Linked DNA regions of Anolis sagrei. The protein of the gene in region 1 purifies or fractionates together with the protein of each later gene. This does not show direct contact. Links are inferred from orthologs where the notes say so. Each region holds a gene or a part of one and is shown on either strand. Other genes may lie near its edges. The genes, in order: DAPK1 and IFI30.

The links.
Region 2: the proteins of DAPK1 (region 1) and IFI30 purify together in Homo sapiens (affinity purification with mass spectrometry; 3 studies listed by BioGRID and IntAct, counting the BioPlex papers as one, with this or other methods). This does not show direct contact. The link is inferred for Anolis sagrei from reciprocal best matches to the Homo sapiens genes DAPK1 and IFI30.

The regions. Positions count from the first base shown.
Region 1 is NC_090022.1:230,170,525-230,186,035, forward strand, and holds the start of DAPK1 (death-associated protein kinase 1), read left to right. Parts: upstream 1-9,580; 5' UTR 9,581-9,709; intron 9,710-9,842; exon of another isoform or gene 9,843-10,326; intron 10,327-11,619; 5' UTR 11,620-11,721; coding exon 11,722-11,783; intron 11,784-15,511. UniProt on the Homo sapiens protein: Calcium/calmodulin-dependent serine/threonine kinase involved in multiple cellular signaling pathways that trigger cell survival, apoptosis, and autophagy.
Region 2 is NC_090034.1:59,102,506-59,118,809, reverse strand, and holds the start of IFI30 (gamma-interferon-inducible lysosomal thiol reductase), read right to left. Parts: upstream 6,747-16,304; 5' UTR 6,700-6,746; coding exon 6,565-6,699; intron 1-6,564. UniProt on the Homo sapiens protein: Lysosomal thiol reductase that can reduce protein disulfide bonds. May facilitate the complete unfolding of proteins destined for lysosomal degradation. Plays an important role in antigen processing.

The DNA.
Region 1 (15,511 bases):
ACATTTTGAAGGGTGAATGCCACCACACTAAAAGCCCATCAAAGGGGTTTATTGTCGAAGGCTTTCATGGTTGGAATCACTGAGTTGGTGTAAGTTTTTGGGCAGTATGTCCATGTTCCAGAAGGCTTCTGGAACATATTCCAGAATGCTTCTGGAACATGGCCATACAGCCTCAAAAACGTACAACAACTCAATCCAGGAGTTGACCAGGGAGAGCAGATGGCATTAATGTAGGTGCCCAATTCTTCCATTGGCTTCCATGGGATGTTGGACCCCATCTGTGAAAAGACAAGACTGTTTCTCTGCTACATACTATCTGCTGCATCATTTACCACCAATAAAGCTTATACTATAGCTGTGATGTCTATCTCCATTTGGGACTAAAAGAACCCTTGGGCACGCATGGAACTATACCTTGTTATGAAACAGAATGTTATCTTATCTCCATATTTTTCAATGTGCTGGAGACCAAGCATGGTAAGCCTTTTAGCTTCTCTATACACATCTTTGTGATACAACTTTGTCATGTGCTGCACTTTTTGTGCTACTTTTGTCCTTCAGTATAGTATAGCAACTTAACTATATGGTCATATTATTTTTGTGCATGAGAAGAAAGCAGCCATGTGGAAAGAGGCAATCTAGTACTGCTTCATCCTCAAAAGCCCTGCGGATGTCAGAGGAAGACCAGCAATTACTATCACACCCAACTGCTCTTTGCATTTGGTAGCTCAGATATGCACTGCATGCAGCTGTGGCACAGATTAAATGTCACTGAACATCATTAAGCAGTTAATGTTGAACTAACCTGTGCTTTGCTCCAAGATTGCGTTGGCTTTCAAGCCAATTAAAACATTTTTTCCACACATTCCCCAGCCTCCAAGTTCATGAAGGTTGAAGCTGGCAGTAAACAAGATCCCATAACTTATGTATAATGTTTATTTGTTTGAGAGAATGCATGTGGAAATGGCTGGAAGCACTTAAGGAAGTGAAAAGGCATTCTATGAATTGGGCCAATGAAGTAAGATGTATTATTTACATTTACATCTAAAACATAAAAGATATCTATGAGATGTGAACACTAATGTCCCTGCAATGTACTGTGGGTGCTAACAGCATGCAGTCCTTGTGCTAAGGTAATTATTTATTGTTATGGCACAGCAGCAGTATCGTACAGTATTAATACACTTAAAAGAAAACAAATACGTTTCTTTTTAGCTTCTCATGCCTCCCATGGTAAAATAACAAACCTTCAAATGGAAAAAAAACACACTGAACTCTCAAAGTATTACGAGTACAGTTCAGTTTTACCGCTTTAGCTATCAGCTTCATAAAACACTATCTACTATTTATTTAAAGACAAATAACAATTTACTATTAATTAGAATGTCATATCATAAAAATACACCTGCCCCTGAAAATGGGGGTACAAGAACATGTTGAATTTTACTGGTGAACGTATCCTTGCTAGAAAATTATGATAGCTTGTCTTCTTTGCCCAATAACAATTAGAAACTGCTGGCAAATAATAGGATTCTATACAGAATTTTGTGAGGCTGTCAACTGAATTCATGCCTAGTTAGCTTAGCTTTTGAAAGAGAATTTGCTGTTATCTTGTAACTATTGCTCTCACTTCCTTCTACTTTAAGGGCGAGTATATGCTCCCTAGTCTGCTATGCAATTAGTTGTCTAAGCAAGAAACATCTTTTCCAAGAAAATGCAAAAATGTCTCTTCAGAGAATTCACTGGACTTTTTCACCTTTTCTCTTATAACAACATTGTTGTGTGTAATGCAATATCTTTGTTGGAAATAGAAAGTCATCGCCACTGTCTTACGTATTTACAGAGGCCTCCAGATTACATTGTTGTAACTATGTCACAAGAGACTACCTTTAAAAGCTGAATGGAAACTTCAGGTAGTGAAGGCTGCATTGGTCACCCATTAACAGACATTGACTGGCAGTCCCTTATACTGTATTTGCACTGAAGTTGCTTATTGGCTGTGTGTTTCACTGCCTTCATAACCTTTAAATGGCTTGGGCCTTTTCCTTTGCATGGCCTTCACAACACAAAATTTTCTAGTAATGTCCAGCTTGGAATTTCCAGAAGCTTACCTGAATACCCATTATGAACTGGGCACTGTCCATAACAACCTCAAAGGTGTAGAACAAACTACCATAGGAACCTCAAATGAATAGATCTACCATCAGAATCTCCATGTACCAGTATCACCAGTCAGTAAGTCTGGTTTATATAGAAAAACCAACTCCCAGGATGAATAACAGAGCAAGTTTCTGGGTGTAGTAATCAGAGACTGAATTATTTCAACTTTATCCAGCTTTATCTCCATAATACACAACACAGATCCGGTGGCAATTAAGGCTGAGATGAAGAACAAGGTCACAAGTAAAACTGCCAGAGCCTATTACATCTAATAGGCAACCCAGACCTCTATCAATATACATTACATTCTTTGGGTTGTTGTAGGTTTTTCAGGCTGTATGGCCATGTTTGAGAAGCATTCTCTCCTGATGTTTTGCCCACAACCTCGCCTTACAACCTCTGAGGATGCCTGCCACAGATGCAGGCAAAACGTCAGGAGAGAATGCTTCTTGAATATGGCCATACAGCCTGAAAAACCTACAACAACCTAGTGATTCTGGCCATGAAAGCATTCAACAATGCATTACATTCTTTGCTGGGATGGAGGAAAGCTGGAGGTTAGGAGCTTGGTGTTGCATCTGACTAACCAGAGGCCTTTCACCCAAATTACTCCTCCATCCCACTGCCAGATCATGGAGGGGTGATTTGGGTGAAGGGCCTCTGATTAGTCAGATGCAACATCTAATATCAAAGGCCTGTATCTCATATTGTTTGGCTTAAGATTTAATTATTTTTATTTGTCATGTCAGAAGTAAGTTGAGGATACAATTAAAATGCATTTAAAAACACAAACAACGTTTAACAACTTGGCATTATACTAAATATTCTTTGACCAGAAGCTGGCCACTTGGAGTGCCCTTGGTGTCACTAAGAGAAGGTCCTTTATTGTGCCTGTGGCAGGGCTCAGATTGCATTGTAATAGGTGGTTTATGTATGGTTTGCTCTTCTCCACATTCACATGTCATGGGCTCCACTCCATAGCCCCATTTCTTAAGGTTCATTCTGCATCTTGTGATGCCAGAGTGCAGCCTGTTTAGCACCTTCCAAGTTGTCCACTCTGCTGTGTGCCCAGGAGAGAGTTTCTCATCCAGTCTCAGCCACTGATTGAGGTGCTGGGTTTTTGCCTGCCACTTTTGGTCTCTTGCATGCTGAGGTGTTCCTGCAAGTATCTCTGTAGATCTTAGGAAGCTGTTTCTTGATTTAAGGGGTTGGCATGCTGTCTGATATCCGAACAGAGGATGGCCCGAAGATGTCAATGCCTTGGTCCTTTCATTGCTGGCTACTACTTCCCAGCAGATGTTAGGTGTTGCGAAAGCAGCTAAACAGTGTAATGTTTCCAGTGGTGTGGGACATAGACATCCTGTGATCCTGCAGCATGAGATAAAAACTAATTATGGATAAAAGTCCTATTTGTGAAGATTTCTGAATTAGCTAAGATGGACAAACTGATAGTGCTGATCAAGGAGAAATCTTTGACTAACTTTAAGAAAAGCTGAGGTTTATTTGTTATTTTTTACACCAAAGATGGGAACAAACTTTAATTATTGGTTTTCTGATTTAGAGGAGTGTTATGAAAAGGAGAAGTGTGTATATATAGTGCTATCTAAAGGGAGCAGAAAATAAGAAGTAAAAATCAACAAACAATGAGTGTGAGGCTTGTAGATTAGTTCTAGTAGTTATATCTGTAGAATGTGTTTATAAGTGTAGGTTTGTCTTAGTTGGTGTAAGTTTAGTTTAATATATTATTAAAACTGTTTTCCTGGTATTGTTTCTGTTCCTTTTCATTTTTTTCTTTTTTGAATTCAATTTTTTAAAACGATAAAAGCCCTAAATGTCTCTTTTTTGTCAGCCACCATACAATATCTGGAACCTTCTTGCCCAAATTAGTTCAGTTAAATCAGAATATAGAGCAGATGGAACACTGCTGAGGTTCCTTTTGGTAAAAGAACACTATGAACACATGTGATTTCTGAACTTCTGTTCACCTTTGATGATATATTCTTCTGATGAGAGAACAGAGTTCACAACGAAGTTAAAAGCATCTTGTCGGCTCTGGGTTGTGTGTTCCCTTGGGGCTGTGTATAGTCTGTAATACTGTTTCAAACACAAATGCTAAGTTAGATCTGGATGGGGAAAAACATTTAGGAATATTGTAAAATCATAATATAAAATGTACCATGTACTTGACAGTTAACAAATAGAGAAAAAAAGTTGATTTGATTTTTTTTATCTTGGTAATAAAATATTAAATATAACAAATGTTGCAACATTTCTGCTTAATTAGGAATATATCTGTTTCCCAAAATGCTTCAGTTTGGTTTCCTTTCCTCACTCCTGAGTCATACCAATAGTTTCAGCTTGTTATATAAGCCAGCTGGTACTGCAAGCTACATTTAATTCTAGGCAGTTATCTTTGCTTTGTTTTGGCAATTTATATTTCAATACCATCAATATGAAACAGGTTCAGTATGGTGGGACTGTTTTCCTTAAGATAAAAAAAAACACACACACACACACTTTGACTAAAAGTTTCAAAAGTACACCATTTCCTTATATTCTTATCCTTAAGAACCTCATTGCCATTCACGAAATATCTCAAACTGAATCATTGGACTGTAAGGTGCTACAAGACTTATCGGTTTCACTGTATGGGGATTCATTAAAACCAGATTAATATTCTTTATCTTGATGAGTCCCTTATAATATGAAGATAGAAAATGGAGTTTCCTCATTGTTAACCTACCTGCCAATAGTGATTGATCATCACCAGCTTCATGCCATAGTGTCTGTTTTGAGGAACAAATGCAAAGTGCTGGGTTTCTTTTTTTTACCAAAATGTTTTCCAAACTTGGGAGAAAGTTTATTATTCTTTATCCCAGCCATTGATGTTCTAAATCAGCCTATGGCACAGTTCTATCAGCGTAACATTTGAGCTGGTTCAGCAAGTCAAAGTATGTGGGTAAGAGCTGTTTCCTTGGAGATTCTTGAAAGCTGGAACCTGAGCACATTTCAGAAGCTTTATAGGAGTTAGTAGAAGTCACTCTGAGGGGGTTAGGAATAAACCCACATTTAAATTGGATTTTAAAAAAAGCTTTTAAAACATGTTATGTATTGAGCTGTGAGATGGGCAAGTGTGCAAATCAAAACAAATATTCGTCCCTTCCATCATAATCCCATATCTACAGAACCTATATAAGCACAGGTTATATAGGTTTGGGGTTGTACTGTATTAAGAAGGATCTATGGGGAGAGGTGGGTAATAAACAAACAAATAACAATAATGATAATAACATTTATTGCATATGTTGACTACACATAAAAGTAGAGAGCAGGTTGTGGGGCCAAAATTATGGATTTTTATATGACCCGTGGGAAATCCCCATGGGTCATATAACAGCCACCGCTGCTGTTGTTTTCTAACCGAGCTATTCTAATAAGCCAGAAACAGCACAACAAAGAGAGTAGAGGATTGGTCAGATCATCGTTTCTCAACCTGGGAGTTGGGACCCCTGGGGGGTTGCAAGGGGTGTCAGAGGGGTCACCAAAGACCATCAGAAAACACATATCAGATCTTTACATTACAATTCATAACAGTAGCAAAATGACAGTTAGGAAGTAGTAACAAAAATAATTTTATGGTTGGGGGTCACCACAACATGAAGAACTGTATTAGGGGGTTGTGGCAATAGGAAGGTTGAGAAACACTGTTTTAGATTCTCCTGGGACATACTAAACTCTTGCCTTTCACCACTTTACTCAGAGAAGGAAATGGCCCTTTTGTTGATAAGGAGATATAGTACTCCCATTGATCTATGGATAAATAAGCCCTTGTTTTTTGGGTTGATATTTTGAGTAAAATTTCTAAATTTACAAGTGAACATATAATAATAATAATAATCTTTATTTATACCCCGCCACCATCTTCCCATGGGGAATCGGGGCGGCTAACATGAGGCCAAGCCCAGAAAATACAATAAAGCAAAGTAAAATACAAACAAGCAAATAATAGCATCGCAAGCGTGTCTGGAGGGGACGAGAGGCAGGGCCTTCTCAGAGGTGGCCCCTCGGCTGTGGAACTCCCTTCCTAGGGATATTAGATCAGCCCCATCCCTCCTGACCTTCAGGAAAAGAGTAAAAACTTGGCTTTTCCAACAAGTGTTTGGAAATGTAGCAAAATAAATAATTACGAAATATGAAGAATGAACACGGAATGGCTAGACAATGCTGCTGGATAATGATTTTAATAGGATAACACTGGTAATTATGTGTTTTTAATGGTTTTATATAGTTTTTTTTATAATATTAGGTTGGATGTTTTCAACTGTATTTTTATGAATATACGGCATCAGATTCTGCCAATTTTGTAAATCACCTTGAGTCGCTGTAAGGCTGTAAGTCGCTGTAAGGCTGAGAAATGCAGGTTACAAATACCATAAATAAATAAATAAATAAATAAAGCACATCTGAGTATTCCTTGGCTTAGAAAACCTTATAAAACTCAAGGACATGCCACAAGTTGACAGTCAACAAACACATCCATGTTACACCTGTTGCAGAACCAAGTCATTGGAAGATATATTTCTCTTAATATGGCAGCTCCTATGTGGCAAAGCGCCTCTTGCTTACTAGTCAGAGAGTATCAATAATTGCATTTTGTTGTATAACAAGAAACATGATACAGAAATGTTAGTGGTTTCAGCATTGGACTGCAACCCTAGAGACCAGGGGTACATCTCCACTGTCGACCGAATGCAGTTTGATATCACTTGAACTGCCATGTCTCAACACATTACTGATTCTGAGAGTGTAGTTTGGGACGTCACCAACACTCTTTGGCAGCGAAAAACTAAATACCTTATAAGACTATAGCTTCCATGATTCCAGAACACTTGAGTCATAGCAGTTCAAGTGATCACAAACTGCATGAATTCCAATGTAACTGCACTCTTGGTTTTGTTGATGAAACCCACTGTGTGAACTTAGAGATGTCACACTATCTTAACCTTAGAGGAAAGCAATGACAAACTCCATTTGAACAAATATTCCCAAGAACCCTGAGATAGGTTTTCCATAATCACTTTAGGATGGAAACAATTTGAAGGCCAACAAGAAAGGGAATAGCCCAATTCTGGTTCAAGCATGGTCCAGGGCACCTCTATACCAGGCTTGGGAAAACTTGGGCCCTCCAAGTGTTTTGGACTTCAACACCCACCATTCCTAACAACCTTGGGGCCTTTCATTTTCCTCTTCCGCCTCAGCTGTAAGGAGGTGTCAGCTGGCCTTGATTGATTCATGTCTGGAATTAAAGGTAGTAAGCAGCCAGGCTTTGAATTTGCGAGGCCATTTGCGAGGATATAGAGAGGCAACTGTATAGAATGGAGATAGGTTGGCAAAGATTCCAGTGATGCTTTTGCAGAGAAGAGACATGGAAAGAAAGTCTGTAGGATTTAATGCCTTTATTGAGTTGCTGTGAGTTTTCTGGGCTGTATGGTCATATTCCAGAAGCAATCTCTCCTGACGTTTTGGCCACATCTATGGCAGGCATCCTCAAAGGTTGTGAGATCTGTTGGAAACTAGGCAAATGGGGTTTATATATCTGTGGAATGATCAGGATGCGAGAAAGAACTCTTGTCTGCTTGAGGCAAGTGTGAATGTAAGCCACCCTGAGTCCCTTCGGGGAGATGGAGGAGGGATACAAAAATAAAGTTGTTGTTATTGGCCACCTTTGTTAGCATTGAATGACTTTGCACCTTCAAAGCCTGGCTCCTTCCTGCCTGGGGGAATCCTTTGTTGGGAGGTGTTAGCTGGCCCTGATTGATTCATGTCTGGAATTCATGGTAGGAAGCAGCCAGGCTTTGAATTTGAGAGGCCATTCAATGCTAATGAAGATGGCCAGTTGCAGCATTCACACTTGCCTCAAGCAGACAGGAGTTCTTTCAACAAAAGATTGCTCCAGGCAGTGCCAGGCCATCAAATGCTAATCAAGGTGGTCAGTTGAAACATTCACACCTAGCTCCAACAGACAAGAGTCCTTTGTCCCACCCTGGTCATTCCACAGATATATAAACCCTTTTTCCTAGTTCCAACAGACCTCACTACCTCTGAGGATGCTTGCCATAGATGCAGGCGAAACGTCAGGAGAAAATGCCTCTAGAACATGGCCATATTATTATTATTATTATTATTATTATTATTATTAACTTTATTTGTACCCCGCTAGCATCTCCCGAAGGACTCGATGCGGCTTACAAAGGCCAAGGCCACAAAACACAACACAAACAATATAACACCAAAAGCAAAATTAAAAACAGTTAAAGCAATATTAACGAATGCAATAGACAGTATATCAAGACACAATAAAAACTGGGCTGGGCCAGAGTAATGGGTACAGGATTAAAAGTGCTGATGTGGCAGGTGGTGTACGAGGATTATAGGGCAAGTGCAGTGTATGGTGTGCAATAATCTTAATTCTACTAAAAGTGCTTTGAGGACTTGTTATTGGAGATTTCCTATTCTGGAAAGGCACATCGGAACAGCCAGGTCTTCAAGTTCTTTCTAAAGACTGCCAATGTAGGGGCCTGTCTAAGATCTTTTGGGAGGGTGTTCCAGAGTCGGGGGGCCACCACAGAAAAGGCCCTGTCTCGAGTCCCCACCAGCCGCGCTTGTGACGTAGGCGGAATTATGAGCAGGGCCTCACCAGATGACCGAAGTGAACGTGTGGGTTCATAGATGCAGTTCATAGATGCGGTCACTCATATAGCCTGAAAAAACCTACAACAACACAAAGAGTTCTTTCTTCCACCCTGGAGAAAGCACCGAGGCAGGAAGCAACCAGACCTTGAAGCTGCAAGTCTATTGAATGCTAATGAAGGTGGCCAATTGCAACATTCACACTTGCCTCAAGCAGACAAGAGTTCTTTCTCCCACGCTGGACATTCCGCGGATAAATAAACCTCACTCGCCTAGTTTCCAACAGATCTCACAACCTCTGAGGGTGCCTGCCATAGATGTGGGCGAAACGTCAGGAGAGAATGCTTCTGGAGCATGTCCAGACAGCCCGGAAAACTGACCGCGACCCAATTCTGCAGTGTCTTCATCCCCAGAGCTTGTTTCCAACACGGCCATACCAACTTTGCTTCTTCTGCCAAGGCAAGGCTCGCCTCGAGGGGCCTTGCTGCGTGGCACTAGAGCCCCGGAGCCCTGGGGTCTGCCTGTCACGGCAACCCGAGAAGGGCGGCAGGCATCCATCCTGGCCGCCTCTCCTCCGGTGCCAGTGGGAGGGGAGCAAGGCGCTCGGTGCCAGCCAACCTGTGGCACGGCGGGGCGTGAGAATGCGTGCGCACCGAGCCCAACTCTGGCCTTGTCCCCTCCCTCCTCCCCTCCTGTCGTGGGCAGGTCAGGGGAAGAAGGAGGAGGAGGAGGAGGAGGACTGAGAAGGCGGCTGCTTCCCTATTGGCCGCGGGCCCGGGGTCCTCTTCCTCCTCCTCCTCCTCTTCTCAATTGCTCAGTTCTGGAGCGCAAAGGGCGCTTGGAGAGGGAGCGGAGGCCGGTGAGTGGCGACCAAAACAGGGGAAACGGTGGGGATTGGGGCGAGCTCCGGTCCCTGGAAGGGAGGCAGGAAGGGAGAGGGAAGGGGGCGGAGAGAAGGGGCGGGTTTCTTCCCCTCCCCTGCCGCTCCTGGGGCCGCCCCAAAGCGAGGAAGGAGGGCCAAGCGGGGCTGCGTGCACGGCGACTCCCTCTCCGCCCCTTGCAGCACCACCGCCTTTCAAAGGGCTGGGTGGGGGAAAGAGGGCTCCTCTCCCTTCCCCCTCTTTCGGGGGGCTTAGCCGGGCGCCAGTCTCCCCCTTTTCCGCCAGGGGAGGGGAGGGGAGGGCCTTGCGAAGGCGAAGGGGGAGGAAGAAGGAGCCTCCCCCCCCCCCCGTCCTCCTTTTACGCACGCCTCAGGTTGGCCGAGGATGCCTGCTCTTTCTCTCGCCGCCGTTCCTTGAGCCGAGAGGCGAGCCGGGTTTGTTCTTTTCCCCGCTGCTTTCCTCGGGGTGGCAAGGGCGGGAGGAGCAGCGGCGGCTCCTCCTGGTCGCACGTCCGAGTTGGCCGGGAAACGGAGGGGGAGCCGCGGAGGAATGTGCCTTCCTGCAAACGGGGGAAGCCATGGAGGCGCCGGGAAAGGTGAGGCCATTCACGGCGGAGGAGAAAGGGAGAGAGAGAATGAGAGAATGAGAGCTCCCCTTGGAGTTCAGGAGGGCCTCTTCGCCTCCCCTTGGTCTTGGACAGGCCCCGAGTCCTTCTCCTTCTCCCTTTCCAGCTGGTGGGCTTTCCAATCCAGAGCCCGGCTTTTGAGGAGGGGACACACACACACACACACAGAGCCTTTCCCTTTTACGCCGCCCAAATGAGCAGCCTGGTCCTAGAGCAGTGCTTCTCAGTGCCTCGACCCCTTCATAATGTTCCTCATGTTGTGGTGACATCCCAATCATAACATTATTTTCGTTGCTACTTCATCACTGTCATTTTGCTACTGTTATGAATCGTCATGTAAAGATCTGATGTGCAGGATGCATTTTCATTCACTGGACCAAATTTGGCACAAATACCCAATACGCCCAAATTTGAATACTGGTGGGCTTGGGTGGGGGATTGATTTCGTCATTTGGGAGTTGTAGTTGCTGGGTTTTATAGTTCACCTACAATCAAAAAGCATTTTGAACTCCACCAACGATGGAATTGAACCAAACTTTGCACGCAGAACTCCCATGATCAACAGAAAATACTGGAAGGGTTTGGTGGTGTCATTTGGGAGTTGTAGTTGCTGGGATTTATAGTTTGCCTGCAATCAAAGAGCATTTTGAATTCCATCAATGATGGAATTGAACCAAACTTGGCACACAGAACTCCCATGAGCAATAGAAAATCCTGGAAGGGTTTGGTGGGCATTGACCTTGAGTTTTGGAGTTGTAGTTCACCTATATCCCGAGAGCTCTGTGGACTTACACAATGATGGATCTGGACCAATTTTGGCACAAATACACAATACTCCCAAATGTGAACTCTGGCGAAGTTTGAGGGGAAAAGGCCTTGGCATTTGGGAGTTGTCATTGCTGGGATTTATAGTTCACCTACAATCAAAGCGCATTCTGAACCCCACCAATAATAGAATTGAGCCAAATTTTCCACACAGAACTGCCATGACCAACAGAAAATACTGTGTTTTCTGATGGTCTTTGGTGACCCCTCTGACACCCCCTTGTGACCCCCAGGTTGAGAAACACTATCCTAGAGTGAAGTTTAGCAGCCCATTGATTTGCCACTCAGCCTCAAAGGGAATCCATTAACATCCGGCATTGTGGGTCTGTTTTGACGTTTGGGCTGTGTGTGTGTGTGCTAGACATAGTGACACCACCACGCCCCTCTTGCAAACAGTGGCATTTAAATTCACCTTCTGCCTGTCTCTTCTTTTTGCAGCTCTGCCTGAAGTGCTGGGAAATCCTTCCCAAAACACAGTGAGGATGAGTTGAAAAGCAAGGACCGAGGATTGTATTTCTATCCTGAGGAGTGGCAGCTATCATGACTGTCTTCAGGCAAGAGAACCTGGATGATCACTATGATATTGGAGAGGAACTTGGCAGGTATGGGATTCGCCGGAAGGAAAGCGTGCAGTCTTTATAGGACAATGTTGTTAGGGATGGTAAACAAATAACAAATTGGTGGGCCATTGGTATCCACTGAGGTTGTTTCCGGGACTCCATGGATATGGGGTCCATGGATATGAAAAACCAATCTATAGTGTCTAGATCCAAGGAAGTCATGCAACCCCTCTATTCAGCCTTGGTCAGATTACACCTGGAATCGCACTGTGTCTAGTTCTGGGCATTGCAATTGAAGGGAGATGTTGACTCTAAGATGGAATGAGTCCAGAAGGGGGCGACTAAAATGATCAAGGTTCTGGAGAACAAGCCCTATGAGGAACGGCTTAAGGAACTGGGCATGTTTAGGCTGCAGAAGAGAAGGCTGAGAGGAGACATGGTGAGGACCATGTATAAATATGTGAGGGGGAGATGGAGGAGGGATCCAAAAATAAAGTTGTTCTTGTTATTGGCCACATTTGTTAGCACTGAATGACCTTGCATCTTCAAAGCCTGGCTCCTCCTGCCTGGGGGAATCCTTTGTTGGGAGGTGTTAGCTGGCCCTGATTGATTCATGTCTGGAATTCATGGTAGGAAGCAGCCAGGCTTTGAATGCTAATCAAGGTGGCCAGTTGCAACATTCACACTTGCCTCAAGCAGACAAGAGTTCTTTCTCCCACCCTGGACTTTCCACAGATATATAAACCCCACTTGCCTAGTTTGCAACACACCTCACAACCTATAAGGATGCCTGCCATAGATGTGGGTGAAATGTCTGGAGAGAATGCTTCTGGAACATGGACATACAGCTTTGAAAACCACAGCAAACCAGTGATTCCAGCCATGAAAGCCTTCAGACAACACAATGTCTTTATTGTTAGCCTGCTCCAATGAGGTACATATGTAGAGAAGTTCAAGGAATGTTCTGTATTGTCTAGGCCAGAAGTAATATGTGCTATATTATATCTGATGTTCATTATGGTTGGGTATTGAATATTACTGCCACTACTGTTAAGTGATTTCTAGGTAGGTCCCTTTCTCATTTGCCATAGATAGGTAATTACAACCTAATGCAGTTTGGTGTTTTAAAGGCTTGCGAAGCATTGTGTTGGGGATCATTATAATTGACCCTATTGTCTGTTTCATGCTGTGAGTAACTTATTATAAGCGTGGTTTGCATGGGTGGTTGTTTCTTATTTATGCACTAAGTTCTAACAGCAGCAATAGCAAATTGTTGGTGTAGGTTGAGATTGCAAATTTAGGATTAATAATTTGTTCAACTAACAATTGAATTCTAGAAAGAATTCTCTATGAATGAAGATCATTTCTGATATATATATTTCACTCAAATGAAGATCAGACTCTTTCAGAAGTATCAGAGTTCAATTATTCTGTCCAGCCAAATGTCAGATCAAGAGATTTATAGTCATTAAGCAGTGTAGGTTTAACACAGCCTTCATAAAGCTTGTTAGTTGAATACTACAGAATCCTGTGTCTGTGCCACAGCTTTGTGATGGAAAACCCAGACCATTGACTAGTGATTATAGCTTCTTTTTGCTTTTCAATCTCTGTTTAATTCCTAAATGAAGTGCGTGCTTCATAGTCTGCAGTGTGTTTGTTTCCTGTATTTTAAAACTCAGGGTTTTTGATATTTGAGATAAATGATTGCTGCATATATCCGTATTGTGTTGTCAAAGGCTTTCATAGCTGGAATCACTAGGTTGCTGTGAGTTTTTCAAACTGTATGGCCATGTTCCAGAAGCATTCTCTCCTGATGCTTCGCCCACATCTATGGCAGGCATCCTCAGAGGTTGTAAGTTCTGTGGAATGTCAAGGGTGGGAGAAAGAACTCATGTTTGTTTGAGGCAAGTGTGAATGTTGCAATTAGCAACCTTGATTAGCATTGAATCGCCTTGCAGCTTCAAAGCTTAGCTGCTTCCTGCCTGGGGAATCCTTTGTTGGGAGGTGTTAGCTGGCCCTGATTGTTTCTTGCCTGAAATTACCTTGTTTTCTGAGTGTTGTTCTTTGTTTACTGTTCTGATTTTCTAATTTTTTTAATACTGGTAGCCATACATTTTCATATTTTCCTCCTTTCTATTGAAATTGTCCCCATTCTTGTGGATTTCATTGGCATCTCTGTACAGTCTGCATTGCTTTCCTCAATATTCTATCATTTTGCCTGTTTTCACAATAATTCTAAATAGAAAATCAGATAGTGATTTTAGAATCATGGTTTGAGGTGTTTTTCTACATTGAAATTTGTGTTTGCATTAACTGTATTTTGTCAATAGAGATATTCTGGCCAATCATAGCAAAAATTGGAACTCAACAGTGAAACTTACATGCAGAAAGCAAAAAATAGCATTAATGTATCCCTAGTGGTTTGACTAAGGTGGGATGAATGGAAATTTGAAACTGGGTTCAGATTGACTCATTCTTTGTGTAGGTATGGCTTCTGCCTGATTTCGGTAATGTTCCCTTTCAATTTACTTTTGATATCTGTACATCTTGAAAGTTGTTTCATAAAAATATGGCAATGTCAACTTACTTTGGGAAAAATGTGTTTTCTGTAGGTATTCTAAGCTGAATATACCATACATACTCAATGGATAAGTCAACCTCATATATAAGATGAGGACAGGATCGGAGATAGATAAGTTGCTCATAATTCTGTGGAGGGGGAAAGCAACCATGCCACTTCAGAGGAGCAGCCACATCTGGCCATTGCTGCCATTTTCCTGATCAGACATTTAAAAAGGCCAGAATAGCACCAAAATGAAGAGGAGTAGGGGCTAGTGCTTCTTTTAAGTTATTCTGGGGATGGACGAAGTTCTTGGTAGTTCCTTTTTTGGGTTATTGTGAGTTTTCCAGGCTGTATCACCATGTTTCAGAAGCATTCTCTCCTGATGTTTCATCCACATCTATGGCAGGCATCCTGAGTGGTTATGAGGTCTGTTGGAAACTAGGCAAGTGGGGTTTATATATCTGTGGAATATCCAGTGTGGGAGAAAGAACTCTTTGTCTGCTTGAGGCAAATGTGAATGTTGGAATTGGCCACCTTGATTAGCATTGAATAGCCTGGTAACTTCAAAGCCTGCCTGCTTCCTGCCTGGGGAATTTTTTTTGTTGAGAGATGTTAGTTGGCCCTGATTGTTTCCTGTCTGGAATGCCTCCTTTTTTGAGTGTTACTTTTTTATTTATTGTCCTGATTTTAGAGGGTTTTTTTTTTAATACTGGTAGCCAGATTTTGTTCATTTTCATGGTTTCCTCCTCTCTGTTGACATTGTCCACATGCTTGTGGATTTCAATGGCTTCTCTGTGTAGTCTGATATGGTGGTTGTTAGAGTGGTCCAGCATTTCTGTGTTCCTTTTTTGATAAGAGTTAACGTACAATATTCAACTTGGATCAAGATTTTTGAGGTTGACTGTTTGACTAAAATTTCTAGACTTATAAATGTGTGTATGGGGGGGCATGGTTTAGTTAGAATATTCTGTGAAGCACTTTAACTACTCGTTGGGTTGCTCTCCCTTTATTTCTTTTAAAACCTCTTACCAGATACATCCTATCTCTGTTCATGCCTAGCGTTTATTTTTTTAAATTTTAAACTATTACATTTGGCCCAGCCATAGGTTTTTTAATCCTTGCATGTTATTGTTTATATGTGATTTATACTAATGGTGGCGGGGTATAAATAAAGATGTTGTTGTTGTTGTTGTTGTTATGAAAGAAG
Region 2 (16,304 bases), on another chromosome or scaffold:
GGTCCTTGTACAGATTCCTCAGGAGAGAGACAAGGTGGCTTGGGATGCCCATCCCACCAAGAACTTGCCACAATTTATTATGATCCACACAGTCAAAGGCTTTAGAATGGTTAATGAAAAAGAAATAGATGTTTTTCTGAAACTCCCTGCCTTTCTCCATTATCCAGCGGATGTTGGCAATTTGGTCTCTCGTTCCTCTGCCTTTTCTAAACCCAGCTTGTCCATCTGCCAACTCTCTCTCCATGTATTGCTGGAGTCTTCCTTGCCTTGCAGGATCTTGAGCATTACCCTACTGGCATGAGAAATAAGGGCCACTGTACGGAGGTTTGAGCAGTCTTTCACATTTCCCTTTTTTTGGTATGGGGATACAAGTTGATTTTTTCCAGTCTGATGGCCATTCTTTTTTTATTTTTTTATTTTTTTCCCCAACTATAATTTTTTTAAATTTTTTTAAATTTTATTATTACTATTGTATAATACATAGAAACATTCCATCTTTGAAAATAACATTCAAAATTACTATTGTATAATACATAGAAACATTCCATCTTTGAAGATAACATTCAAAATACCAGTTTTTTCCCCAATCCCGCCACCAGCACACCCCCCCCCCCCCCACCGGGAACAAATAGATACTTTAGTTGTGTTTATTACAATTGTTCAATCATGAGAATAGTTTTGTTCAACACCGTATATTTATCTTTCCCCTTTATTCTATATATGAGGCCCTTCCATTTTGCTTTCCATGTCTTTTTGCTTTGACCCATCATATAGTAACTTTTCCTTTCGCTAATATAATCTTGAAGAAGGTAATCTGCTAAATATTTGTACCAGGTTTTTGTATCCCATTTCTTGTGGTCTTTCCAACATTAAAGCCTCAGGGCCACTGAGGCTTTAATTCCCTCTATCATATGTTTTATTATTTCCTCACTTTCCTTATATTCCTCTTTATTTTCGAATTTCTGAGTGAAAAATTTGGCCTTATTCCATTCTATCTTGATCCCTAATAGCTCCTCCATTTCTTTCCTGATTATTTCTTGGAACTTTTGGATTTTTTCACATTCCCACCACATGTGGGCATATGTTCCTATTTTACCACAGTTGTGCCAACATAATTTTGGGCACGTTTTTGTGATATGCGCCAGTTGCACAGGAGTTCTGTACCATTTTGTCAATATTTTTCGTTGCATCTGATGGCCATTCTTGTGTTTTCCATATTTGCTGGCATATGGCACGCATCACCTTGACAGCATCCTCTTCCAAGATCTTAAACAGTTCAGCTGGGATTCCGTCGTCTCCTGCTGCCTTGTTGTTAGCAATGCTTCTTAAGGCCCATCCAACCTCAGGATGTCTGGTTCTAATTCATTCACCACACTGTCAAAACTATCCTCGATATTGTTATCCTTCCTATACAGATCTTCTGTATAGTCTCGCCACCTTCTCTTGATCTCTTCAGCTTCTGTTAGGTCCCTGCCATCTTTGTTTCTTATCATACCAATTTTTGCCTGAAATTTACCTCCAATGTTTCTAATTTTCTGGAAGAGGTCTCTTGTCCTTCCTATTCTGTTGTCTTCTTCCACTTCCATGCATTGCTTGTTTAAAAATAGTTCTTTATCTCTTCTGGCTAACCTCTGGAACAGCGCATTTAATTGGGCATATCTCCCCTTATCAATGTTTCCTTTTGCTTTCCTCCTTTCTTGGGCTACTTCCAGTGTCTCAGCAGACAACCATTTTGCCTTCTTGCATACATTATATGCATACATTAACATTAAAAACATTTGACTCAACATTAAAATATACTATATACTACTCCCATTGCATTAACTACTACACCCTAACTAGAGTGGCTTCACTCTTGTGCAGGTGGTCAGGTCAAAGGTATTAACTCTGCTATCACTTAGACAATGCCAGGTAATTTCCAAATCCTGGCAGAATGTGCTGCCTGGGAGTCATATGTCTCCTTCTCTGGGGGTTTTGAAGCGTAAGGTGCATGGTCATCTGTTGGGAGGGCTCAGGTTGTGTTTTCCTGCTTGGCAAGGGGTTAGATGTGGATGGCCCTTGCGGTGTCTTTCTTCCAACTCTAGGATTCAGTTCCGAAATGGAAACCCCTCTGTTTGGCCCCAAAGTGAGCTGAACTACCCTTCTTCTATAGGGCACAGCATCTGCAGAACTGTGAGTCAGAAGGCAACTTGATCATTCTTTATTTTTAACCCGGCTTCCTTCTTCAAAAAGCGAAGTGAAAGAAAGAAGCCTTTTCTGGGCAATTAGGACAGTACCTTCCTTGCAATTCTGCAGAAATGCTGGGGAATTCCAAAGAAGGGTTTTTTCCCCTGCCATCATCGCAATAGTAATAATAATAATAATAATAATAATAATAGTAATAATTTAATAAAATAAAATAATAATCATTAAATTATTTAAAGATTGAACTGCAAAGACTCTGGCACAAACCAGTCAAGGTGGTCCCAGTGGTGATCGGCACACTGGGTGCAGTGCCTAAAGACCTTGGCCTGCACTTAAACACAATCGGCGCTGACCAAATTACCATCTGTCAGCTGCAGAAGGCCACCTTACTGGGATCTGCATGCATTATTTGCCGATACATCACACAGTCCTAGACACTTGGGAAGTGTCCGACGTGTGATCCTCTACAACAGCCAGCAGGGTGCCTGCTGTGGACTCATCTCCTGGTGTTAATAATAACAATAACAATAACAAGGTGGTCCCAGTGGTGATCGGCACACTGGGTGTAGTGCCTAAAGACCTTGGCCTGTACTTAAACACAATCGGCGCTGACGAAATTACCATCCGTCAGCTGCAAAAGACCACCCTACTGGGATCTGCACGCATTATTCGCTGATACATCACATAGTCCTAGACACTTGGGAAGTGTCCAACGTGTGATCCAATACAACAACCAGCACAGTGATCTTGTTTGCTGTGTACTGTTCTTGTTGTGTTCCACATAATAATGTAATAACAATAAATAGAATAGGAAGAGATCAGATCCCCAAGGGCCATCTAGTCCAACCCCCTTCTGCCCTCATGCAGGAAAAGCACAATCAAAGCCCTCCCAACAGATGGCCATCCAGTCTCAATAACAATAATAATAATAATAATAATAATAATGTTGGAAAAGATTCCCAAAGGCCATCCAACCCAACCCAGTCTGTCTGTCCGTCCGTGGCCATGGACTATGATTTCGGATAATGTGATTTTAAATAGTGTTTTAGAGTTTGATATGTTGGTTTTTAATGATCATTTTAAAATAGATGTTTATTTTACTATATATATATGTTTACATGCCATTGAATCATTGCCTATACATGTAAGCCACCTTGACTTCTCTACAGAGTTGAGAAGGGCAGGATATAAATAGGGTAAATAAATGAAATAAAAGAAATGTATGCCTCTATCTATCTTAAGGGATTGGATGACCCTAGGGGGTCTTTTCCTCTATCTATCTGTCTGTCCGTCCGTCCATCCGTCCGTCCAACACTACAACTAACTAACTAACTAACTAACTGTCGGTCGATCCGTCCATATATCCACCAATACATGTCTCTCTTTCTCTATCTCTCTACCTATCTACCTACCTATCCATCCACCTATGTATATATGTATCTATGTAACTACCTACCTACCTACGTATCCATCTACCTGCCTTTCTACCTGTCTGTCGGTTTATCTACCTGTTTCTTTATCTACCCACCTACGTACCTACCTATCTGTCTATCTATCTACCTACTTATCTATCTACTTATCTTTCTACCTGTTTGTCTATTATTTATTTATAATTATAGAAATTATAAATATATATAAATAATTATAATTATATACATAAATATTCATCTACCTACCTGTCTGTCTTTCTATCTACCTGCCTACTTATCTGTCTATATCTACCTATCTACGTACCTACCTATCTACTGTCTGTTTATCTATCTATCTATCTATCTACCTATCTGTCTACCTACCTACCTACCTATCTGTCTATATATCTTTCTACCTACCTACCTGTCTATATCTACCTACCTACATACCTACCTGTCTGTCTATCTATCTATCTACCTACTTACCTACTTATCTATCTATCTACTTGTATATCTGCCTATCTACGTACCTACCTAGCTACTGTCTGTTTATCTATCTATCTATCTATCTACCTACTTACCTATCTACTTATCTATCTACCTACCTACCTGTCTATCTATCTACCTACCTGTCTATATCTACTTACCTACATACCTACCTATCTACCTGTCTGTCTATCTATCTATCTATCTATCTACCTACCTACTTACCTATCTATCTACTTGTATATCTACCTACCTACATACCTACCTGTCTGTCTGTCTATCTATCTATCTATCTACCTACCTACTTACCTACTTATTTATCTATCTACTTGTATATCTGCCTATCTATGTACCTACCTATCTACTGTCTGTTTATCTATCTGTCTATCTATCTACTTACCTATCTACTTATCTATCTATCTACCTATCTACCTACCTATCTACCTGTCTATATCTACCTACCTACATACCTATCTATCTATCTATCTATCTATCTATCTACCTACCTACTTACCTATCTATCTACTTGTATATCTGCCTACCTACATACCTACCTATCTACCTACCTATTGGTCTGTCTCTGTATCTATCTACCCACTTACCTATCTACTTATCTGTCTGTCTACCCACCTACCTATCTACCTGTCTATCTACCTGTCTGTCTGTCTACCTACCGGTCTATTGGCCTGTCTATCTGCCTATCTGCCTATCTGCCTATCTATCTATCTATCTATCTATCTATCTATCTATCTGTCTGTCTGCCTGCCTGCCTACTTACTTACTTACCTACCTACCTATCTACCTATCTACCCATCCATCTATCTACATTTCTGTCTTTCTCTATTTATCTATCCACGTGTGTCTTTCTTTATCTAATTATCTATCTATCTATTCATCCATCCATCCATTCGTCAATACATGTTTATCTAAAGCAGTGGTTCTTAACCTGTTTATCCCCAGGTGTTTTGGCCTACAACTCCCAGAAATCTCAGCCAGTTTACCAGCTGTTAGGATTTCTGGGGGTTGAAGGCCAAAACATCTGGGCACCCACAGGTTGAGAAACACTGGTCTAAAGGGATGGGACTGGGTGGCCTTTGGGGGTCCTTTCCAACTCTAAGATTCCATCTCTCTGTGCCCCCATGCTGTGGCCCACATGGGGGTTCTGTGTGGGAGGTTTGGCCCAATTCTATCATTGGTAGGGTTCAGAATGCTCTATGATTGTAGGTGAACTATAAATCACAGCAACTACAACTCCCAAATGTCAAGATTCTATTTTCCCCAAACTCCACCAGTGTTCACATTTGGGCATATTGAGTATTTGTGTAGAGTTTGGTCCAGGTTCATCATTGTTTGAGTCCATAGTGATCTCTGGATGTAGGTGAACTACAACTCCAAAACCAAAGGACACTGCCCAACAAACCCTTCCAATATTTTCTGTTGGTCATGGGAGAACTGTGTACCAAGTTTGGTTCAATTCCATCGTTGGTGGGGTTCAGAATGCTCTTTAGAATCATAGAATCAAAGAGTTGGAAGAGACCTCATGGGCCATCCAGTCCAACCCCATTCTGCCAAGAAGCAGGAATATTGCATTCAAATCACCCCTGACAGATGGCCATCCAGCCTCTGTTTAAAAGCTTCCAAAGAAGGAGCCTCCACCACACTCCGGGGCAGAGAGTTCCACTGCTGAACGGCTCTCACAGTCAGGAAGTTCTTCCTCATGTTCAGATGGAATCTCCTCTCTTGTAGTTTGAAGCCATTGTTCCGCGTCCTAGTCTCCAAGGAAGCAGAAAACAAGCTTGCTCCCTCCTCCCTGTGGCTTCCTCTCACATATTTATACATGGCTATCATATCTCCTCTCAGCCTTCTCTTCTTCAGGCTAAACATGCCCAGCTCCTTAAGCCGCTCCTCATAGGGCTTGTTCTCCAGACCTTTTATCATTTTAGTCGCTCTCCTCTGGACACATTCCAGCTTGTCAATATCTCTCTTGAATTGTGGTGCCCAGAACTGGACACAATATTCCAGGTGTGGTCTAACCAAAACATTTTGATTTTACCAAAGATTTTGATTTAAAATCTTTGATTGTAGGTGAACTATAAATCCCATCAACTACAACTCCCAAATGACAGAATCAATTTTTTTGAGTGAAGGACATACATTGGGTTGTTAGGTGTCTTGTGTCCAAATTTGGTGTCAATTCATCCAGTGGTTTTTGAGTTCTGTTAATCCCACAAACGAACATTACATTTTTATGTATATAGATTATTATTATTATTGAGGCTGGATGGCCACCTGTTGGGAGTGCTTTGATTGGGCTCTTCCTGCATAATGCCAGAAGGGGTTGGACTGGAGAGGTCCCTTCCAGTTGGAGGATTCTCTCTCTGTCTCTAGACTGGAGGACTCCCCACCTTCTGGGTGCCTCTCTCCTCCTGCCTTCGGGGGTGGGACTGGCTGGCCTTGGGAGGTCCCTTCCCAGGTTCCCACTCACCTGGCAGGTGCGGGCGGTCTCCCCGTGGTGGCACCAGAGGGGCGGGGCTTGGGGGCAAGGAGGGCCCCCCAACACAGCGCCCCCCAAAAGGGACACACTGGCCGACAACACCCAGAACAGCCTCGCCAGAGCCATGAGCTCGTCCTTCTGGCCAGGGAAGAAGCCCAGGAGGGAGGTTGGGAGGGAGGAGGCTCCTTTGGGGAAGGGGGGCCGGGTTGGCTCCTCCCTCTTTCTCCCTCAGCAAGCTGTTCTCTCTCTGGTCCGCCTCCGGGAGGAGGAGGAGGAGAAGGAGGAAGCAGCCCTTCTTCCCTTTGCCCTCCCCAGCAAGGTTGGGCTAGATGACCTTCAGGGGTCCCTTCTCGCCAGCCAACTTCTTCTCCTTCCTTTCTTTTCTTTCTGTCCTTCCTTTCCCTTCCTTCCTTCCTTCTTTTACTTTCTTTCTTTCCTTCCGTTTCCTTCATTCCTTCCTCCCTTTTCCCTTCATGCCTTCATTCTTTCTTTTTCCTTAGTTCCTCCCTCCCTTTTCTTTCTTTCTTTCTTTCTTTCTTTCTTTCTTTCTTTCCTTTTCCTTCATTCCTTCCTTTCCTTCCATCTTTTTTCCTTAGTTCCTTCCTTCCTTTTCTTTCTTTCTTTCCTTCCTTTTCCTTCATTCCTTCCTTTCCTTTCTTCTTTCTTTTTTCCTTAGTTCCTTCCTCCTTTTTCTTTCTTTCTTTCCTTTCTTTTCCTTCCTTCCTTCCTTTCCCTCCTTCTTTCTTTTTTCCTTAGTTCCTTCCTACCTTTTCTTTCTTTCTTTCCTTCCTTTTCCTTCATTCCTTCCTTTCCTTCCTTCTTTCTTTTTCCTTAGTTCCTTTTCTTTCTTTCCTTCCTTTTCCTTCATTCCTTCCTTTCCCTCCTTCTTTCTTATTCTTTAGTTCCTTCCTCCCTTTTCTTTCCTTCATTCCTTCCTTTCCTTCCTTCCTTCTTTCTTTTTCATTAGTTCCTTCCTCCCTTTTTCTTTTCTTTTCTTTCTTTCCTTCCTTTCCCTTCATTCCTTCCTTTCTTTCCTTCTTTCTTTTTCCTTAGTTCCTTCCTCCCTTTTCTTTCTTTCTTTCTTTCTTTCTTTTTCCTTAGTTCCTTCCTTTTCTTTCTTTCTTTCCTTCCTTTTACTTCATTCCTTTCTTTCCTTCCTTCTTTCTTTTTCCTTAGTTCCTTCCTTTTCTTTCTTTCTTTCTTTCCTTCCTTTTCCTTCATTCCTTCCTTTCCTTTCTTCTTTTTTCTTAGTTCCTCCCTCCCTTTTCTTTCTTTCCTTCCTTTTCCTTCAGTCCTTCCTTTCCTTCCTTCTTTCTTTTTCCTTAGCTCCTCCCTCCCTTTTCTTTCTTTCTTTCTTTCCTTCCTTCCTTTTCCTTCATTCCTTCATTTCCTTTCTTCTTTTTCCTTAGTTCCTTCCTCCCCTTTTCTTTTCTTTCTTTCCTTCCTTTTCCTTCATTCCTTTCTCTCTCTTTCTTTCTTTCCTTCTTTTTACTTAATCTCTTCTTTGTTTCACTTTCTTTCCTTGCTGCCTTTTCCTTAATTCCTTCCTTCCTTTTCTTTCTTTCCTTCTTTTTCTTTCTTTCCTTTTTCTTAATTCTTTTCTTTCCTTCCTTCCTTCTTTTTCTTTAATTCCTTCCTTCTTTTATTTCTTTCCTTCTTTTCTTCCCTTCCTTCTCTTTCTTTCCTTCTTTTTCCTTAATTCCTTCCTTCTTTTACTTTCTCTTTCCTCCCTTTCCCTTAATCCCCTCCTCCCTTTTCTTTGTTTCCTTTTCCTTCCTCCCCCTCTCCCTTCCTTTTCTTTCTTCCCTCCCCTCATTCCCTCCTTCCTTCTTCTCCCTTCCTTTTCTTTCTTTCCTTCCTTCCTTCCTTCCCTTCCTCCTTCTTTCTTTTTCCTCCCTACCTTCCTTTTCTTCTTTCTTTTTTTCTTTCTTTTCTTCCCTTCCTTCTCCTCCCTCCCTTTTCTTCCTCCTCCTTCCTTTGATTTGACCTGAAAAGGCCGCCTCCTTTTCTCCTTCTCATTCACACTAGATGTGTTCTGTCACTTTTGTGTGTCTTCCGTTGCTGCCTTTAAGACCCCTTCACCAGCCTTAGGAACACACAGAATAATAATAATAATAATAATAATAATAATAATAATAATAATAATTTTTGTGTCATGAGCTACTTGAGAAACTGCAAGTTGCTTCTGGTGTGAGAGAATTGACTGTCTGCAAGGATGTTTCCCAGGGGACGTTGCCTGGACGTTTTTCATGTTGTGTGGGAGGCTTTTCTCATGTCCTTGCATGGGGTGCTGGAGCTGACAGAGGGAGCTCCTCCACGCTCTCTCTGGATTCGAACCTCCAACCTCCCAGTCTTTTTAAAAAATATATTTTTTATTATTTTATCAATTATTACATTTATTATACATTTGTTTATAGTAGTTACATATTATTCAACACCCTCGTTAACATATAATCTTATTCTTCTGTTCCAACCTCTCAGTCTTCAGTCCTGCCAGCACAAGGGTTTAATCCATTGTGCCACTGGGGGCTCCTAATAATAATAATAATAGTAGTAATAATAATAACAATAATAATAATAATAATAGCAGAGAAACAACTGGAAAAACTGACACGATATGAGGATTTTAAAATTGAACTGCAAAGACTCTGGCACAAACCAGTCAAGGTGGTCCCAGTGGTGATCGGCACACTGGGTGCAGTGCCTAAAGACCTTGGCCTGCACTTAAACACAATCGGCGCTGACAAAATTACCATCTGCCAGCTGCAGAAGGCCACCTTACTGGGATCTGCACGCATTATTTGCTAATACATCACACAGTCCTAGACACTTGGGAAGTGTCCGACGTGTGATCCAATTCAACAGTCGGCAGAGTGTCTGCTGTGGACTCATCTTGTTGTGTTTCAAATAATAATAATAATACTACAAGGATTTAAAGATCGAAGTGCAAAGACTCTGGCACAAGCCAGTCAAGGTGGCCCCAATGGTGATCGGCACACTGGGTGCAGTGCCTCAAGACCTTGGCCTGCACTTAAAAACCATTGGTGCTGACAAAATCACCACCTGTCAGCTGCAAAAGGCCACCCTACTCGAATCTGCATACATTTTTTGCCGATATATCACATGGTCCTAGACACTTGGGAAATGTCCGATGTGTGATCAAATACAAAAACCAGCAGGGTGAGCTTGTTTGCTGTGTACTAATATTGTCATGTATCAAATAACAATAATGTTTATTTCTATCCTTTCCCCTCTCACTGAAGGGACTGGATGGCCTTTGGGGATCTCTTCCAACTCTAGATTATCATCATCATGATGCAGAGACTGGATGGCCATCTATCGGGTGCTTTGATTGTGCTTTTCATGCTTGGCAGAAAGAAGGGGGTTGGACTGGATGGCCTTTAGAGGTCTTTTCCAACTCTATGATTCTGTAGGTGTCTTTAAGAGGGAGGTTGGTTCCGTCCATAGAGTTATAGTTCACCTGATGGCAGGTGAACTATAACTCCAAGTAATTGCAACTCCCAAATATCAGGATCTGTTTTCCCTAACCTCCACCAGTGTTCAAATTTAGGCATTTTGAGTATTTCATGCCAAGTTTGATCCAGTTCCATAGTTGTTGGGTTTCTCAGATCTCTCCAGATGTAGGTGAACTACATCTCCCCTAAATCCCTGCCAATTTCTCCCAAACCCCTCCAGTATTTTCTGTTGGTCATGTGGGTTCTCTGTGCCAAGTTTCATCCAGTTCTGTAATTTGTGGGGGTCTCAGTGGTCTGTGGAGTCAGAGCTGAATCGGTTGAAGGTACATTCAAAGTTAACATTGACACGGAAATTCAACACCGCCTGAGCTCTGCGAGTGCAGCATTTTTCCGAATGAAGCAGAGTGTTTGAGGACCGGGACATCCGTAGGGAGACCAAGGTGCTTGTCTACAAAGCTATTGTCCTCCCAACCCTGCTCTATGCCTGCGAAACGTGGACTGTCTACAGACGTCACATGCAACTCCTGGAACGATTCCATCAGCGCTGCCTCCGGAAAATCTTGCAAATCTCCTAGGAAGACAAGCAGACAAATGTCAGCGTGCTGGAAGAAGGAAAGACCACCAGCATTGAAGCGATGGTCCTCCGCCATCAACTCAGCTGGACCGGCCACGTTGTCCGGATGCCCGACCACCGTCTCCCAAAGCAGTTGCTCTACTCCGAACTCAAGAACAGAAAACGTAATGTTGGTGGACAGGAAAAGAGATTGAAAGATGGGCTCAAAGCCAACCTTAAAAACTTTGGCATAGACACTGAGAACTGGGAAGCCCTTGAATGCTCCAGCTGGAGGTCAGCTGTGACCAGCAGTGCTGTAGAATTTGAAGAGGCACGAATGGAGGACGAAAGAGAGAAACGTGCCAAGAGGAAGGCGCGTCAAGCTTTAGAAAGCTTGGGGGTCATGGCTTTAGAAAGGTTGAGAACCACTGACTTAGGCGATCCCTCATTGTCAGATAGGATTGTCTTCCAAGATCGGTGTACTGGCGGTGGGTCCGTAGGCAACTGTGGAGCCCTATTCTTGACCCACATCTTCCACAGTGAAGACATTGGTTTCGAGGTGGAAGGCAGTCCCAGTAAGGGTTGACTTCACGTGCCTTCCTCTTGGCATGTTTATCCCTTTTGTCCCCCATTCGTGCCTCTTCAAATTCCACAGCACTGCTGGTCACAGCTGACCTCAAGAGTCAGGGCTTCCCAGTTCTCGCTGTCTATGTCACAGTTTTTAAGGCTGGCTTTAAGTCCATCTTTAAATCTCTTTTCCTGTCCCCCAACATGACGTTTTCCATTCTGGAGTTGGGAGTATAACAACTGCTTCGGGAGGCAGTGATCTGTGGGCATTCGTACAATGTGGCCGTCAGTCCAGTGGAGTTGATGGCATAGGAGCACCGCTCCAATGCTGGTGGTCTTTGCTTCTTCCAGAACGCTGACCTTTGTCCGCCGGTATTTTCCCCCCAAGAGATTTGCAGAGGCAACGCTGATGGAATCGTTCCAGGAGTTGCATGTGACGTCTGTAGACAGTCCACGTTTCGCAGGCATATAACAGGGTTGGGAGGACAATGGCTTTATCAACAAGTACCTTGGTCTCCCTACCGATGTCCCGATTTTTAAACACTCTCTGCTTCATTTGGAAAAATGCTGCACTTGCAGAGCTCAGGCAATGTTGTATTTCAGTTCACTTACAATCAAAGAGCGTTCTGAACCCCACCAATAATGGAATTGAACCAAACTTGGCACACAGTTCTCCCATGACCAACAGAAAATACTGGAAGGGTTTGGTGGGCAGTGTCCTTTGGTTTTGGAGTTGTAGTTCACCCACATCTAAAAATGACTGTGGACTCAAACAATGATGGATCTGGACCAAATTTGGCACGAATACTCAATATGCCAATATGTGAACACTGGTGGAGTTTGGGGAAAATGGACCTTGACATTTGGGAGTTGTAGTTGCTGGGATTTATAGTTCACCTACAATCACAGAGCATTCTGAACCTCACCAATGATAGAATTGGGCCAAACCTCCCACCCAGAACACCCATGTGGGCCACAGCAACGCATGGCAGGGGACAGCTAGTAATAATAATAATAATAATAATAATAATAATAATAATAATAATGGGTTTTCTTGATGTCCAGTGAGAGACCAAGCTTTTTGTATGTCTGCAAAGGCGTTTAGAGCGGCTTGTCGGCTTTCAGAGTTCCAAATTCCATTCCATTAGTCATTTCCTGGCCATTCTCAAAGTCCTTTCTTTATCTGCACGATTGTCCGAATGCCTGGTCCCAAATCCATGTTTTCAGTTTTTTCCTGAAGGAAAGGAGTAATTGGGTTGTTATAGGTTTTTCCGGGCTATATGGCCATGTTCTGGAGGCAATTTTTCTCCTGACGTTTCGCCTGCATCTATGGCAAGAATCCTCAGAGGTAGTGACGTCTGTTGGAAGTAGCTCACTACCTCTGCGAATGCTTGCCATAGATGCAGGCGAAACGTCAGGAGAAAAATTGCCTCCAGAACATGGCCATATAGCCCGGAAAAACCTACAACAACCCAGTGATTCCGGCCATGAAAGCCTTCGACAATACGAAAGGAGTGATGTCGCTGATCTAATTTCCCCGGAGAGCGAATTCCACAGGTGGGGGGCCACCACCGAGAAGGCCCTGCTCCTCGTCCCCGCCAACCTCACTTGTGATAGAGGCGGGGTCAAGAGCAGGGCCTCCCCAGAAGATCTTAGACGTAAAGGGAGATCCGTTCGGACAGATACACTGGGCTGGAGCCGTATAGGGTTTTGTAGGTCAAAACCAGCACTTTGAATTGTGCTCAGAACTGGATCGGCAGCCAGTGGAGCTGACATAACGGGGGTGGTATGCTCCCTGTATGACACTCCGGTGAGCAGTCTGGCTGCCTCCCGCTGGACTAGTTGGAGTTTCCGAACAGTCTTCAAAGGCAACCCCACGTAGAGCGCGTTGCAGTAATCTAATCTGATCTTCTTCTGAATGCGCACAGACTACATTATCATCAGCATACTGAAGTTCTATAACAGGTGTTTGTTGTGACCTTGGTTTTGGCTTCATTTGTAACCTTAACCCTAACCTACAATTCTCTGGGCAGGAGTGGTAATTCTTGGTTCCTTAAAAGTCTCAGATTATAATGCAATCTCTGCTGGGCCCTCTTCACCATCACAATGGCAAGTCTTCCTAAGCAATGTAGCACCCAGGGACTTAAAACTGGCCTCACGCTCCACTCGATCTCCATTTGTAACCAAAAAGTTGAATTTCTGATCTGTTCTGCATGATGGGGTTTATAAGGGGGTTTTGGAAAAGAACATCCTCATTCGGGTTGCGATCTGAACTCATATCCCAGCTCTACCAGAAACCAGGTAGGGTGCCTGCCCTTCACTGTGAAGGCTCTCTTGGGCTGTTACTCCCTACCAATGCATGTCGGAGTGCCCTGATCCATGTCAAAGGCCCCAATCCACCTCCAACCCTTGAAGCTCATGGCTCCAAACCCTTACCTTGGCCCTTGGCTATGGAAACTTGCCCAATGCCTCTTGCGCAAAGGGACCGCAAAGCGCCCACAAACCCGCAGGACGGGTTCTCCCTGACTTTGGGCAAGCCCAGCCTTGGAAAAAATTATTCTTCCCAGAACCTCTCTATCTAAACAGATGCCAAGGCCAGCCTTTGCATATTACTAATACTAATGCTAATAATAATCTATATAAATAAAAATGTAATGTTAGTTCGTGCTACCATCAGAACTCTAAAACCACTAGGGGAATTGACACCAAATTTGGACACAAGACACCTAACAGTCCAATTTATGTCCTCCACTCAAAAAAAATTGATTTTGTCATTTGGGAGTTGTAGTTGCTGGGATTTATAGTTCACCTGCAATCAAAGAGCATTCTCAACCCCACCAGTGATGGAATTGAACCAAACTTGGCACACAGAACTCCCATGATCAACAGAAAATACTGGAAGGGCTTGGTGTGCATTGACCTTGAGTTTGGGAGTTGTAGTTCACCTACATCCAGAGAGCACTGTGGACTCAAACTATGATGGATCTGGACCAAACTTGCCACAAATATTCCATATGCCCAAATATGAACACAGATGGAGTTTAAGGGAAATAGACCTTGACATTTGGGAGTTGTAGTTGCTGGGATTTATAGTACACCTACAATCAAAGAGCATTCTGAACTCCACCAATGATGGAATTGAACAAAACGTGGCACACAGAACTCCCATGACCAACAGAAAATACTGGAAGGGCTTGGTATGCATTGACCTTGAGTTTGGGAGTTGTAGTTCACTTACATCCAGAGAGTATTGTGGACTCAAACAATGGTGGAGCTGGACCAAACTTGGCACAAATATTCCATATGCCCAAATATGAACACAGATGGAGTTTGGGGGAAATAGACCTTGACATTTGGGATTTATAGTTCACCTACAATCACAGAGCATTCTGAACCCCACCAACGATAGAATTGGGCCAAACCTCCCACACAGAACCCCCATGTGGACCACAGCAACGCATGGCAGGGGACGGCTAGTAATAATAATAATAATAATAATAATAATAATAATAATAATATCGAGTTGGAAGGAACTCCCAAAAGACATCCAATCCAATCCCCTTCTACCAGGTGGGAAAAGCACAATCAAAGCACTCCAGACAGATGACCACCCAGCCTTTGCTTAATAATAATAATAGAAGAGTTGGAAGGGACCCCCAAAGGACATCCAGTCATAGAATCAAAGAAAAGAGTTGGAAGAGACCTCATGGGCCATCCAGTCCAACCCCATTCTGTCAAGAAGCAGGAATATTGCGTTCAAATCACCCCTGACAGATGGCCATCCAGCCTCTGTTTAAAAGCTTCCAAAGAAGGAGCCTCCACCACACTCCGGGGCAGGGAGTTCCACTGCTGAATGGCTCTCACAGTCAGGAAGTTCTTCCTCATGTACAGATGGAATCTCCTCTCTTGTAGTTTGACCCCTACCAGGTGGGAAAAGCACAATCAAAGCACTCCAAACAGATGAGTACCCAGGATTTGCTTAATAATAAAAGAATAGAGTTGGAAAGGACCCCCAAAGGACATCCAGTCTAGCCCTCTTCTACCAGGTGGGAAAAACATAATCAAAGCCCTCCAGACAGATGGGCATCCAGCCTTTGCTTAATAATAATAGAGTTGGAGGGGACGCCCAAAGGACATCCAGTCCAACCCTCTTCTGCCATCCTGCAAGAAAAGCACAATCAAAGCACCCCTGACAGATAGCCATCCAGTCTGCATAATAATAATATTGGAAGGATTTCTCGCTCATGGAAGAGGAAATCCCTATGGCTTCTTTTCAAAGAAGCACCTTGAAGTTGGGATGGTTTCTCTTGGAGTGAGAGCTTTTCCTGGAAATCATCAGCCCACTTCTTAACAACCCCGGGAGATTTGTGGTTGGTTGCACTCACTCGCTGCCACATTATTGTCACGTGAGTGGTGTGTCCTCAGGCAGACAGGTCCAAAGGGCAAGGCCAAGTGCTTGCAATGTCTGTTTTGTGGTTCTTGTTTGCGGCCCATGGTTTGCTCCATTGTGGACACAGCTGCGGCACCTCTCCCGCCAGCCAAACCCATGAAAATAGACTTTAGCCTTTTAGGGTCTCAATGTAGAGAGGAAAGTGGGATATAAATATTATTATTTGATACACAACAAGCTCATTCTGCTGGCTGTTGTGTCGGATCACATGTTGGACCCTTCCCAAGTGTCTAGGACTGTGTGATGTATTGGTGAATAATGCGTACAGATCCAAGTAGGGTGGCCTTTTGCAGCTGATAGATGGGAATTTTATCAGTGCTGTTTTTAAGTACAGGCCAAGGTCTTTAGGTACTGCACCCAGTGTACAGATCACCATTGGGACCACCTTGACTGGTTTGTGCCACAGTCTTGCAGTTCCATCTTTAATATAAGCTGTTATTATTATTTAATAATTTTTATTAAAGTATTTTCTCAATAACATAAAAAAGAGGAAATTTGTATGAAAAGGGGAGGTGCTGGAAGGTATAGAGAGGAAGGGATAAACGGCTATGGCAGCGGTTCTCAATCTGGGAGTCGCGACCCCTCGGGGGGTCGTTTGGCCATTTTCTGGGGGTCGCGAAGCTGCATTGGCTGGCCATGCCCCCTCCAAAATGGCGGCCGACCCCCTGAGCCACTGGCACTCCCG